Linked DNA regions of Macaca fascicularis. The protein of the gene in region 1 interacts with the protein of each later gene in a pairwise test. Links are inferred from orthologs where the notes say so. Each region holds a gene or a part of one and is shown in the gene's direction. Other genes may lie near its edges.

What was found.
Region 2: the proteins of SH3GL1 (region 1) and DPPA4 interact in binary tests that used the Homo sapiens proteins (3 or more experiments, as listed by UniProt). The link is inferred for Macaca fascicularis from reciprocal best matches to the Homo sapiens genes SH3GL1 and DPPA4.
Region 3: the proteins of SH3GL1 (region 1) and SH2D4A interact in binary tests that used the Homo sapiens proteins (3 or more experiments, as listed by UniProt). The two-hybrid records come from large-scale screens. The link is inferred for Macaca fascicularis from reciprocal best matches to the Homo sapiens genes SH3GL1 and SH2D4A.

The regions. Positions count from the first base shown.
Region 1 is NC_088393.1:5,136,355-5,140,594, reverse strand, and holds the start of SH3GL1 (endophilin-A2), read left to right. Parts: upstream 1-1,352; 5' UTR 1,353-1,499; coding exon 1,500-1,544; intron 1,545-4,240. UniProt on the Homo sapiens protein: Implicated in endocytosis. May recruit other proteins to membranes with high curvature.
Region 2 is NC_088376.1:173,735,774-173,739,486, forward strand, and holds part of DPPA4 (developmental pluripotency-associated protein 4), read left to right. Parts: intron 1-489; exon of another isoform or gene 490-492; coding exon 493-613; intron 614-2,865; coding exon 2,866-3,026; intron 3,027-3,112; coding exon 3,113-3,163; intron 3,164-3,713. UniProt on the Homo sapiens protein: May be involved in the maintenance of active epigenetic status of target genes. May inhibit differentiation of embryonic cells into a primitive ectoderm lineage.
Region 3 is NC_088382.1:22,384,074-22,387,786, forward strand, and holds part of SH2D4A (SH2 domain-containing protein 4A), read left to right. Parts: intron 1-2,815; 5' UTR 2,816-3,019; coding exon 3,020-3,200; intron 3,201-3,713. UniProt on the Homo sapiens protein: Inhibits estrogen-induced cell proliferation by competing with PLCG for binding to ESR1, blocking the effect of estrogen on PLCG and repressing estrogen-induced proliferation. May play a role in T-cell development and function.

The DNA.
Region 1 (4,240 bases):
TGCCACTGCACTCCAGCCTGGGCGACAGAGCAAGACTCCATCTCAAAAAAAAAAAAAAAAAGGAAAGAAAGAAAACAGAGACAGAGAGAGTTGATGGGGCCAAATTATGCAGGCTTTGTAAAATATGTTAGGAAGTCTGGAGTGTATCCTAAGGGTGGTAGGCCGAATTAAAACAGGGGACTGGTGTGATCTGAATTGCACTCTTTTTTTCTTTAGATGGAGTCTCACTCCATCGCCCACGCTGGAGTGCAGTGGTGCGATCTCTGCTCACCGCAGCCTCCGCCTCCCAGGTTCAAGCGATTCTCCTGCCTCAGCCTCCTGAGTAGCTAGGATTACAGGAGTGCGCCAACACGCCCAGCTAATTTGTGTGTGTATGTGTGTGTTTTGTTTTTTTTTTTTTTTTGTAGAAACGGGGTTTCACCATGTTGTCCAGGCTTGTCTTGAACTCCTGACCTCGTGATCCACCCGTCTCTGCCTCCCTCACTGCTGGGACTACAGGCGTGAGCCACTGCGCCCGACCCTGAATTGCATTCTAGAAGCATCTTTCTGGCCGCCATGCCAGGGCATGAAGCCAGACCTAGATGTCTCCATGTGTCACGTGGGCAACTGAATGGATGAACACAGGACAGAGAGAGAGGAAGAGAGGTGGCCAGGCACGGTGTCTCATACCTGTGATCCCAATACTTTGGGAGGCTAGGGGAGGAGAGGGTGGATCACCTGAGGTCAGGAGTTCGAGACCAGCGTGGCCAACGTGGCGAAACCCTGTCTCTACTAAAAATACAAAAATTAGCCGAGCGTGGTGGTGCTCGCCTGTAATCCCAGCTACTCGGGGGGCTGAGGCAGGAGAACCGCTTGAACTCGGGAGGCGGAGGTTGCAGTGAACCGAGATCACGCCACTGTACTCCAGCTTGGGCGACAAAGCAAGACTCCGTCTCAGAAAAAAAGCAAAAAAAAAAAAAAAAGAAAGAAGGGGAGGGAGCCTGAACACTTAGAGGAACTGGATTTAGATTTAGCTAAGATGAGCAAACAGGAATCTGGAGAATCGTAACCAGGCAGAGGCCCCTTCTACTTCCCAACCTCCCTGGCCAGGTTTAAACTAAGCGCCTTTCCCAAGACGTTAGGGTCACCTCCGGGACTCCAGAGGGCGCTGAACCTGCTACGGCCCCTCTAGGCTCCCCCCGCTCAACTCACTGACAGAGGCGGTGTCTCCCGCGGCAGACAACGTGCACGTGCGCTCTCCAGCCGGCAGAGGGCGCGCGTGCGCAGACGGGGCCGGGGGCGCGCGCGGGGGCCGGCACCGGAAGCGTGCGGTTGCCATGTAATATCCTGGCCGCGCGGGCGCGCGAGCGGCTGAGGCGGCGCCGGGGCGGGCGCGGAGCTGGCAAGCGGCTGGCGGAGGCGGCGCCGACGGGGGCTGCTGAGGCGCGCAGAGGGTCGGCGGCGCCCGGGAGCCTGTCGCTGGCGCGGTCCGGGCGGGAGGCTCGGCGGCAGGCGGCAGCATGTCGGTGGCGGGGCTGAAGAAGCAGTTCTACAAGGCGAGCCAGGTGAGCTCAGGCCCAGGCAGGGGCCGAGTCCTGGGCCCCAGGCTGCCCGGATGAGGGGGCCAGGCCCGACCTGGCTCGGGAGGGGGCCGGAGGGACCGAGGTAGGGACGTTGGTGCGTGTCCCCCGCCGGGTGGGAAGAGCAAGGCACGGACGGGGGCGATGAGGTGGCTCAGGCCCTGCCCGCCATGCGGGCTCCAGAAGCGGGGACAGAACCCCTGGGAGGAGGGGAGAGGCACCCAGGGGCTGCCCAGGGACGCGGACCTCACCCCTCCTCCCCTCCCCTGCAAAGGCGGGGTGCGGGGAGAGAAGGGGAAGAGAGGAGTCCCGAGGCTGTCGACACAGGATTCTTGCCAGATAACCCAGAGCCAGGGAAAATTGCTTCTAGAGCAGTTCTGTTCAAAATCCTCCGGATGGGCAAGGTACAAAGTTGAAAAGGTAGAGGGAGAAGTCAGTTTCCCCTCTCTGCTCCTCGGGCAGCCAGCCCCGTCTCTCTCCCCAGAGACAGGGACTGTCATCGACTCCGTATGTCCCTTTCGTAAGATACGTGTGTGCCTTTCCTTTAAAAACACGTACACTGATAGCATTTGCCACAGAATCCTGTGTGCTGTGGTTTTCATTACTTGGAGGTCACACTGGAGCGAGATTTCTACCCCTCCGTCAGCACTGTTGACATCTGGGGCCGGATTGTTCTCCGTGGTGGGGCCATCCTGGACACTGCGGGGTGCTGAGCAGCGCCCTGGCCTCCACCCTCTCCAGGCCGGGAGCACCCCCAAGTCGTGACAACCAAAAATATCTTGAGACATCACCCTGTGTCCCCTGAGGAATAGAATCAATCTCCTTCCCTCTCTACTTTCCTTCCTTCCTTCCTCCTTTCCTCCCTCCCTGTCTCTCTCCCTTCCTTCCTTCTCTTCTTTCCTTCCTCCCTTCCTTCCCTGTCCCCCAGGACTACTGCACTAGACCATACTCCACACTTGTTGGATTTTTTTTTTTTTTTTTTTTGAGACGGAGTCACTCTCTGTCGGCCCAGCTGGAGTGCAATGGTGCAATCTCAGCTTACTGCAAGCTCCACCTCCTGGGTTCAAGCAATTCTCCTGCCTCAGCCTCCCTGGTAGCTGGAACTACAGGCATGTGCCACCGCACCCGGCTACTTTTTGTAATTTTAGCAGAGACAGGGTTTCTCCATTTGGCCCAGGCTGGTCTCGAACTCCTGGCCTCAAGTGATCCGCCTGCCTCGGCCTCCCAACGTGCTGGGATTACAGGTGTGAGCGACTGTGCTTGGCCTACTTGGATCTTTTTAATGGGTACATTGTATTTCATTCCATTAGGTGTACCATAATTTATTTAACCAGTTGTCAGTTGATAGATATTTCTGTTTACCGGAATTTTCTGCTACCATTACTACAATGAATAGCCAGTGAATATCTTTGCTCACCAGTGGGATTCGTTTTATAGGATGAATTCCCGGAAGTAGAATGTTGCATCCCAGCCTAAGTGCATTTGATTTGGACAGATAAAGGGTTTTTTGGAAAGTCCAGGACCCATTGCCCATGAATGTGGTGAAAGCTGTGGATCCACTCTCCGTAAAACTGGGCACACTTAAAATTTTCACTTTGCAACTTCAAATCTAGCAAGCCTCAAATTTGTCTGGGCACGGTGGCTCACACCTGTAATCCCAGCACTTTTGGGAGGCCGAGGTGGGAGAATCACTTGAAGCCAGGAGTTTGAGAGCAGCCTGGGCAACATGGCAAAACCCCATCTCTACTAACAGTACAAAAATTTTGTATTTTTGCCTGTAACCCCGGCTACTAAGGAGGCTGAGACAGGAGAATCTCTTGAATCCAGGAGGTAGAGGTTGCAGTGAGCCAAGATTGCGCCACTGCACTCCAGTCTGGGTGACAGAGCGAGACTCCGTCTTGGAAAAAAAAAAAAAAAAGCCTCAGATTGTTGAATCCTATTGGTCCATGCACTGCAGGGTGAGGTTGTGTGGAATTTGTGTGGATAGAGTCCACCGAGGAATGAGCAATGATGTGTTTTTTTTTTTTTTTTTTTGAGATGGAGTCACTCTGTCGCTCAGGCTGGAGTGCAGTGGAGCAATCTTGGCTCACTGGAAGCTCTGTCTCCCGGGTACACACAATTCTCCTGCCTCAGCCTCCCTTGTAGCTGGGACTACAGGTGCCGGCTACCACACCTGGCTAATTTTTTGTATTTTTAGTAGAGACGGGGTTTCACCATATTAGCTAGGATGGTCTTGATCTCTTGACCTTGTGATCTGCCCGCCTCAGCCTCCAAAGTGCTGGGATTACAGGCAGGAGCCACTGCGCCCGGCCTGAGCAATGATCTTAGCAAATGCTTGGGCCGAGGTGGCAAACAGGGTTCTCTGCCCACAGTTTGGAGAGGCCCAGTGGGAGCAAAGAGAAACAAGTCCCCAGTAACACCCAGCTGGTACCTTTTGTCCCTGGAAAGAAAAAAGTAAGGACCCTGCCAGGTGCTGTGGTTCATGCCTGTAATCCCAGCACTTTGGAGGCTGAGGCAGGGGTTCCCTTGAGTTCAGGAGTTCAAGACCAGCCTGGGCAATATAGGGAGATCTCATCCCTACAAAATATCGAAAAGTTAGCCAGGTGTGGTGATGTGCACCTGTAGTCCCAGCTACTTGGGAGGCTGAGGGGGGAGGACCACTGGAGCCCAGCAGTGCAAGG
Region 2 (3,713 bases), on another chromosome or scaffold:
ATACAGTAGGTGAGTTAAGGGCCTTTCTTTTTTTTTTTTTTTTTTTTTTTTTTTTTTGAGACAGTCTCATTCTGTCACCCAGGTTGGAGTGCAGCGATGCAGCCTCTACCTACCTCCCTGGCTCAAGTGATTCTCCTACCTCAGTCTCTTGAGTAGCTCGGGCTACAGGCATGTACCACCATGCTCAGCTAATCTTGTTTCCTTTTTGTAGAGGCAAGGTTTCACTTGTTGTTGCTCAGGCTGGTATCCAACTACTGGACTCAAGCGATCCTCTTGCCTTGTCCTCCTAAAGCACTTGGATTACAGGCGTGAGCCACAACGCCTGGCCTGCATGACAGTGTGTATTAAGATGATACCCAGAGGAGAATCCACACTGCCAGTGGAGTCCAGTGACTGCCTTGGTGCCTTAGAAGTGAGTTATCTTGAGGCAGGTAGTGTATGTGTGGTTTGGACACTGGAGGAATGACTGACCAGCTCCTCTGTTCCCAGTAGACCTCCACAGAGAAGTCGAGGGAAGAGGATCAGCAAACTTCTAATCAACCAAACATGATTGCTTTGCCAGGAACATCAGCAAAGGGAACCAAAGAAAAAAAGTCTGTCAAAGGCAATAAAGGTAAGAGGTCTTCAAATCCTCAAATCCCACTTTCTCAGGTCTTAGAAGCCAGAGGAATTTTTCTGAAGAAGAAAAGCCAGGGAAGAAATTTCCGTCATATATTTTGCAAATCCTACAGTTCATGGGAGTCTAGCTTAAACTGCACCTTCCTGAAGCATCTTTTGGTCACCATTGCCCTAACCGATCCCTTCCTATCTTCAGACTTCCACAGCATATTTGGTTCTGTTGATCATTTTTTCCTTCACTTGCTACTTGGAGTTAAGAATTTCAATGTGCAATGATTTGGGAACAGACAGCTGTAAATTTGAAGACCCATTCTTGAAACCGGACTACCTATTCTAAAAATAAGTTTGAACAATATCTACCTTTATTCGGGTGTGGGAATGGAGTGTTAAAATTTACATAGAATAATTAAGTGAAGTACTTACACTATGCCTAAGAAGTAATGGCCGGGCGCGGTGGCTCAAGCCTGTAATCCCAGCACTTTGGGAGGCCGAGACGGGCGGATCACGAGGTCAGGAGATCGAGACCATCCTGGCTAACACAGTGAAACCCCGTCTCTACTAAAAAATACAAAAAAAAAAAAACTAGCCGGGCGAGGTGGCGGGCAACTGTAGTCCCAGCTACTCGGGAGGCTGAGGCAGGAGAATGGCGTAAACCCGGGAGGCGGAGCTTGCAGTGGGCCGAGATCCGGCCACTGCGCTCCAGCCTGGGCGACAGAGCAAGACTCTGTCTCAAAAAAAAAAAAAAAAAAAGAAGTAATATGTACACAGTAAACCCTACTAACTCTAAGTGTCATTACAGGCTGTGTCTTTTTTTTTGAGACACCAAGACAGGGTGTTGGTCTGTCATCCAGGCTAGAGTGTGGTGGCACCATCTCAGTTCCCTGCAACCTCTGCCTCCCTGGTTCAAGCGATTGTCCTGTCTTAGCCTCCCAAGTTAGCTAGGATTGCAGGCGTGTGCCACCATGCCTGGCTGATTTTTGTATTTTTAGTAGAGACGGGATTTTACCATATTGGCCAGGCTGGTTGTGAACTCTTGGCCTCAAGTGACCCATCTGCCTTGGCCTCCTAAAGTGCTGGGATTACAGGTGTAAGCCACCAGACCCAGCCTTAGACATTTTTTTGGCATGATCCTGGCCCACTAAAACCTCTGCCTCCCGGATTCAAACAGTTATCCAGCCTCAGCCTCCCAAGTAACTGAGATTACAGGCATGTGCCATCATGCCCAGCGAATTTTTTTTTTTTTTTTTAGTAGAGACAGCATTTCACCATGTTGGCCATGCTGGTCTCAAACTCCTGACCTCAGGTTATCCCCCCACCTCGGCCTCCCAAAGTGCTGGGATTACAGTGTGAGCCACTGTGCCTAGCCAAATATCTTTACTGAATGAAGACAAGGTATGTGAGGTGCAGAAGCAGGATGAACAGAAACACAGCTCAGCTAAGGAAGCATACCTGCTATGAAACCAGAGTGCTGCCCTGACTAGGGTGGGCTGGCAGAATTAGGAATATTAGTGGTTGCCTGTGTAGTATTGTCAGGTGTTGAGTTTGCTCTGTGTGTAGAGGACACCACTGAGTATGATCTCAAGTCTAAGACAGCGGTAATTCCCCTCGGGTGGAAGTGCCATCTCTGGTGCCACCACCTGGGTTCTGTGGATTAAGGGGTTCACAAAGGTATGATCTCAAGTCTAAGACAGTGATAATTCCCCTGGGATGGAAGTGGCATCTCCGGTGCCACCACCTGGGTTCTGTGGACTAAAGGGTTCACAAAGGAGCACGTGTACCTGAGTAGTGGGGAGATTGAGGAATAAAACTGGGATTTAGAAGTGGTAAGTCCTAGGTTTGAGAGGGATTGAACTATTAATAACTAAAACTGATTTTAGGCCGGGCGCGGTGGCTTAGGCCTGTAATCCTAGCACTTTGGGAGGCCTAGGTGGGCAGATCACAAGTTCAGGAGTTCGAGACCAGCTTGGCCAACATGGTGAAACTTCACCTCCACTAAAAATAGAAAAAAAATTAGCCGGGCGTGGTGGTGGGCATCTGTAATCCCAGCTTCTCAGGAGGCTGAGGCAGGAGAATCGCTTGAACCCAGGAGGCGGAGGTTACAGGGAGCCAAGATTGCGCCACTGCGCTCCAGCCGGGCGACAAAGCAAGACTCTCAAAAAAAAAAAAAAAAAACAGTGATTTTACTTTTGAAATTCTGAAAAGGTACACAAAGTTAATTACTACTAATTTGATTCCATTCTCCTTCAGTGCTCTGTCCTAAGAAGAAGGCAGAGTGCAGTGACAACCCCAGACCTCAGAGGAAGATACCAATCCCTCCATTACCCTCTAAACTGCCACCTGTTAATCTGATTCACCGGGACATTCTGCGGGCCTGGTGCCAACAATTGAAGCTGAGCTCCAAAGGCCAGGTGAGGGCCTAGGCTGGGGATGGTACTGCTGGGAGGAAGGGTAGGAACCTTACTTGCCTTACTAACTCAGTTTTCTGTTGTCTTAGAAATTGGATGCATATAAGCGCCTGTGTGCCTTTGCCTACCCAAATCAAAAGGTAACTTTTTAAAGGATGTACGTTTCAGTGCTTATCCTAATTACCTATTGTAGCCTCAAAAGTGAGTAAAGGAGCTGTCTTAGCCTCCGCTTGTCCCTCCACCCCTAGTTCTAAGAAAGAACAGTATTTTCCATGCCTGCTTTCCTTTTTTTTTTTTTTGAGATGGAGTCTCACACTGTCACCCAGACTGGAGTGCTGTGGCACCATCTCAGCTCACTGCAACCTCCACCTCCCGAATTCAAGCAATTCTCCTGCCTCAGCCTCCTAAGTAGCTGAGATTACAAGCACCCGCCACCACGCCCAGCTAATTTTTTGTATTTTTAGTAGAGGTGGGGTTTCACTATTTTGGTCAGGCTGGTCTTGAACTCCTGACCTCGTGGTCTGCCCACCTCGGCCTCCCAAGGTGCTGGGATTACAGGTGTGAGCCACCGTGCCTGGCCTTCCATCCCTACTTCTCACCAAGTCTGCAAAGAATAATAAAAATGAGGCAGCCCAGCCTGGCCAACATGGTGAAATCCTGTCTCTACTAAAAATACAAAAATTAGCCAGG
Region 3 (3,713 bases), on another chromosome or scaffold:
ACACCTGGGCCAGTGTGGCAGTCGGTTCTTTTCTGGCCTTCCTGGCTGGGCTGTGTTCACCTGGCATCCCCTAAGCTTAGCTACAGCGGACCAGGAGGAGGCTTCTGCCCTGTGTCAAGCACCATCAGTTCAGCATTTCTGTTCCTGCAGGAATTTGCTGGCTTCCATTCTGAAATTTCATACATGGCGCCACATCCTGCTGTTCTGATTCTGGGCACACAAATAAACTCACAAAAAGGCCTCTGTGCTGTGGATTACAGTGAAGCTGACTTAGAGCTGGACTGCCCGGCTCTGCCGCTTACCAGCTGCTGACCTGTGCTCTGTCTTCCTAATCTGTGAAATGAGCACAGTGATGGGCTGGACTCGAAGGGTTATTATGAAGATTAAGCGAGTTAACACAGGTAAAGTGCTTAATTAAGATGGTGCCTGGTACGAGAAGTGTTAGCTGTGTTATCAGGAATATGCAGGGCGGGGGAGACAGTAGGAATGTGACTTTGGCGCTTTAAGGGTTTTAGATTTTAGGCTCTACCCACGCCTTGAATAGGACTCACCGCATTGAAAATGGGGAACAGAGCGGAAGTCTCAACCCTAACTGAACTGTTCATTTTCTGCCATGTGTGATTTCTGCGAAAGCCAACCACAGAACATAAAGACATTTACTGGAATGTCAAGGAGTCATTCCGTGTCGTTTCTTACCACTTTATCTTGGAGCTTGTGGATTTCATTGGCTCCACCCCTTCAGAAGCTGCTAGAAACAGTCAAGAAATCATTACAAGACATCCATTTTTTTGACTGTTCAAGCCTTTAAGGGTATCTCCATGCAAAATACAAAGTTAGCAAGGGGACCTGGCAGGGGGCGTGACATTACTTTTAGTCCTTTAAAAGTTTTCTCTTAATATTTGGTTCCATTTGAATTCCGGTGGTTGAATGCTGCTGAGATGATAGGTTGCAGTCAGTAGGGATAGGTGTAGTTTCATCAAGGGTCTGGCTTTGCAATGAACAGTCAGCGAATCTGAGTGCTGCGTATGCACACCATTCTGTGGTAGCCTAGCTATTGAGCGTGCTCGTCTCAAAAGACAGATGTACATCAAGGAACAACTTTGCAAGGAAGAGGAGGAAGACAGGAAGCTGAAGGAGGCCCCCAGGTGGTGAGAGAAGCATTACAAATCTAGCTGTATCAATGACAAGGTAAACGAAGAGAAACCAACACTACGATGGCCATAATATAGCTAAGTGACTTGTCTAAAGTTTAAGAGTGTTTGAATATAGTATGGAGAAACAAGATATTTGAGAGCACATGGCAAGGTGGTAAGATTATTGAGGTGTTACTGTAAACAACAAATTATTGGTCAATTTCTTATTTTTTCTTTTCTTTTTTTTTTTTTTTTTTGAGATGGAGTCTGTCTCTGTCACCCAGGCTGGAATGCAGTGGCGCGATCTCGGCTCACTGCAATCTCCGCCTCCCGGGTTCAAGCGATCTCCTGTCTCACCCTCCCGAGTAGCTGGAATTACAGGTGCCCACTACCATGCCTGGCTAATTTCTGTATTTTTTGTTTTTTTAGTAGAGGTGGAGTTTTACCATATTGGTCAGACTGGTCTCGAACTCCTGACCTCGTGATCCACCCACCTTGGCCTCCTAAAGTGCTGGGATTACAGGTGTGAGCCACCATGCCTAGTCTATTGGTGAATTTCTTAGGACACATGTGATTCTGAAAAGTTGTAGTAAGTTTTTTTTCTTACATCGTACTACATCGAATCCAAAGTCTTGTTTTCCAGAATAGAAATATTTACATAGTTTCCTTCTGATTACAAAAGTATGATGGTTTATGAGACTTAGAAATTGTTTAAAAATAGAGAGAAAAAGTATGACAGTGTGGTAATATTTTTAAGCCAACCAAATAGAAATGTGGAAAGCAGAATGAAACCTCAGTGGGATTTCCAACCCCAGGAGAACCTCTAGGAGGCCACTGTGCACACTCGATTTATGGTTTCTCTTTCACGGAGCCATGCAGTAAACTCATATAAATCAAGGATCCTTTGTTATGAACCTAATGACCTCTTCATCCCGCTAGTTTATCTGGTCTGTCCATTTAGATTTTATTAAACTAGGTTATCTAGTAAAAGCACACCTAAAACTCGGTGACCTTCCAGAATGTAGACGGATGTTCTCTCTTGCACCTGCCCTGATTTTCATGGCTCTAGTAGGTTGCCTGGAAATTACATTATCCTTTTGTGAAGAGGAAAGTACATAATTATGTTTATTTAATGCTACTTTTTAGGGAAATTGCAGAAATTGCATGGTGGTCTAGTTTTTATTTCTTCCTTTTTCTTCCTTGAACATGGCTCTATTTTGGTTTGGTTTGGGGTGAGTTACTCTGTGACATCTCAAAAATGGTATTTTCTTTTGAAATAGGTACTTTGCAGAGAGCCTTTTAATTTCTTCCTGTGACCTTTCTTTTTGCCTTTCTTTTTTCAGCCACACAGTTGGTGGTTTGTTAGGCTCTGGGGTAATCATGTGTTTGCTTAGTTGGGAGCAGGACAAACCTCTGTGAACTTTTTTTGTTTCCCTGAGATTGACCTGTATAAAGTTAGGGTTTGTTTTCTTTTTTTTGACAAAGTATCTTTAGAAATTATAGGATAGAAGTTACACAAACTCTTAACAAAGTGTGCCTCAGGTTTTCTTTTTCTGTTTTCTCCCTGAAATGAAAAGTGATACTGTATTTCCTCCTGGCTTTTTTTTTTTTTTTTAACCCGTCCTAGCCAGCGTCCACACATTTTAACATGCCACCTGAATGCGGGCTCTTTCTCTCTGTAGGTTCAGTGAACAGCATTTTGGACCGGACATTTGGTGCCAGGTCTCAGGAGCCAGTTTGCTGAATTATTGCCCCAGTCAGCCAGGATTGTGAGCTGTTCGGGAAGTTTTGTGGACACGCCCAAGTGCCAGCACAGGTGGAGGGACACCTGGAGGCCAGTTTCAGGAACTTTTGCCACAGGTATAAAAGACTCCAGAACTGCAAAGATGCTGAAACAGATACTGTCGGAGATGTACATAGATCCCGATCTACTGGCAGAGCTCAGCGAAGAACAGAAACAGATCCTGTTCTTCAAGATGAGAGAGGAACAGATCCGACGATGGAAAGAAAGAGAAGCAGCTATGGAAAGAAAGGAGTCCTTGCCAGTGAAACCCAGACCAAAGAAAGGTAAACTTAGCCACGTTTCTTTTGTGAACGTGTTGGTAGAATAACTCCTGGCTGGCTTTGACAATTTCAAACTAATCACAAGCAAAGCAAGTGCAAGTTCCAGTTTGGTAGATGAATCCTAAATGTTACTGAGAATCCAGTAGTGCAGTATATCTGCTTGAAGTCTACACACACACAGCATTCACCATGGAGTTGCATAACTGTGAGGAAATCTCTTACTTGAAATGAGACTAACCTGAAGCTGTAGTAAAAAGTCACCTATGGAGTTTGATTTGAGGGGTATTAAGAAAGGTTTCTATCTCCTTTATTGTTACTGATTCCTTATATTCTACTACCAGAACACAAAGTTCTTATATCAATATATTTATAGCAATTGTGTTTACATTTCTTAGACCTCAGAGATTTTTCTTTGAGGTATCTTTTTAGGGAACACCCTCTCTTAAAATGTAAGGAACTGCTGTAAGGAAAATAATCATAATACTATCTTTTTTTAGTGTGAATGAGTTTTTCAGA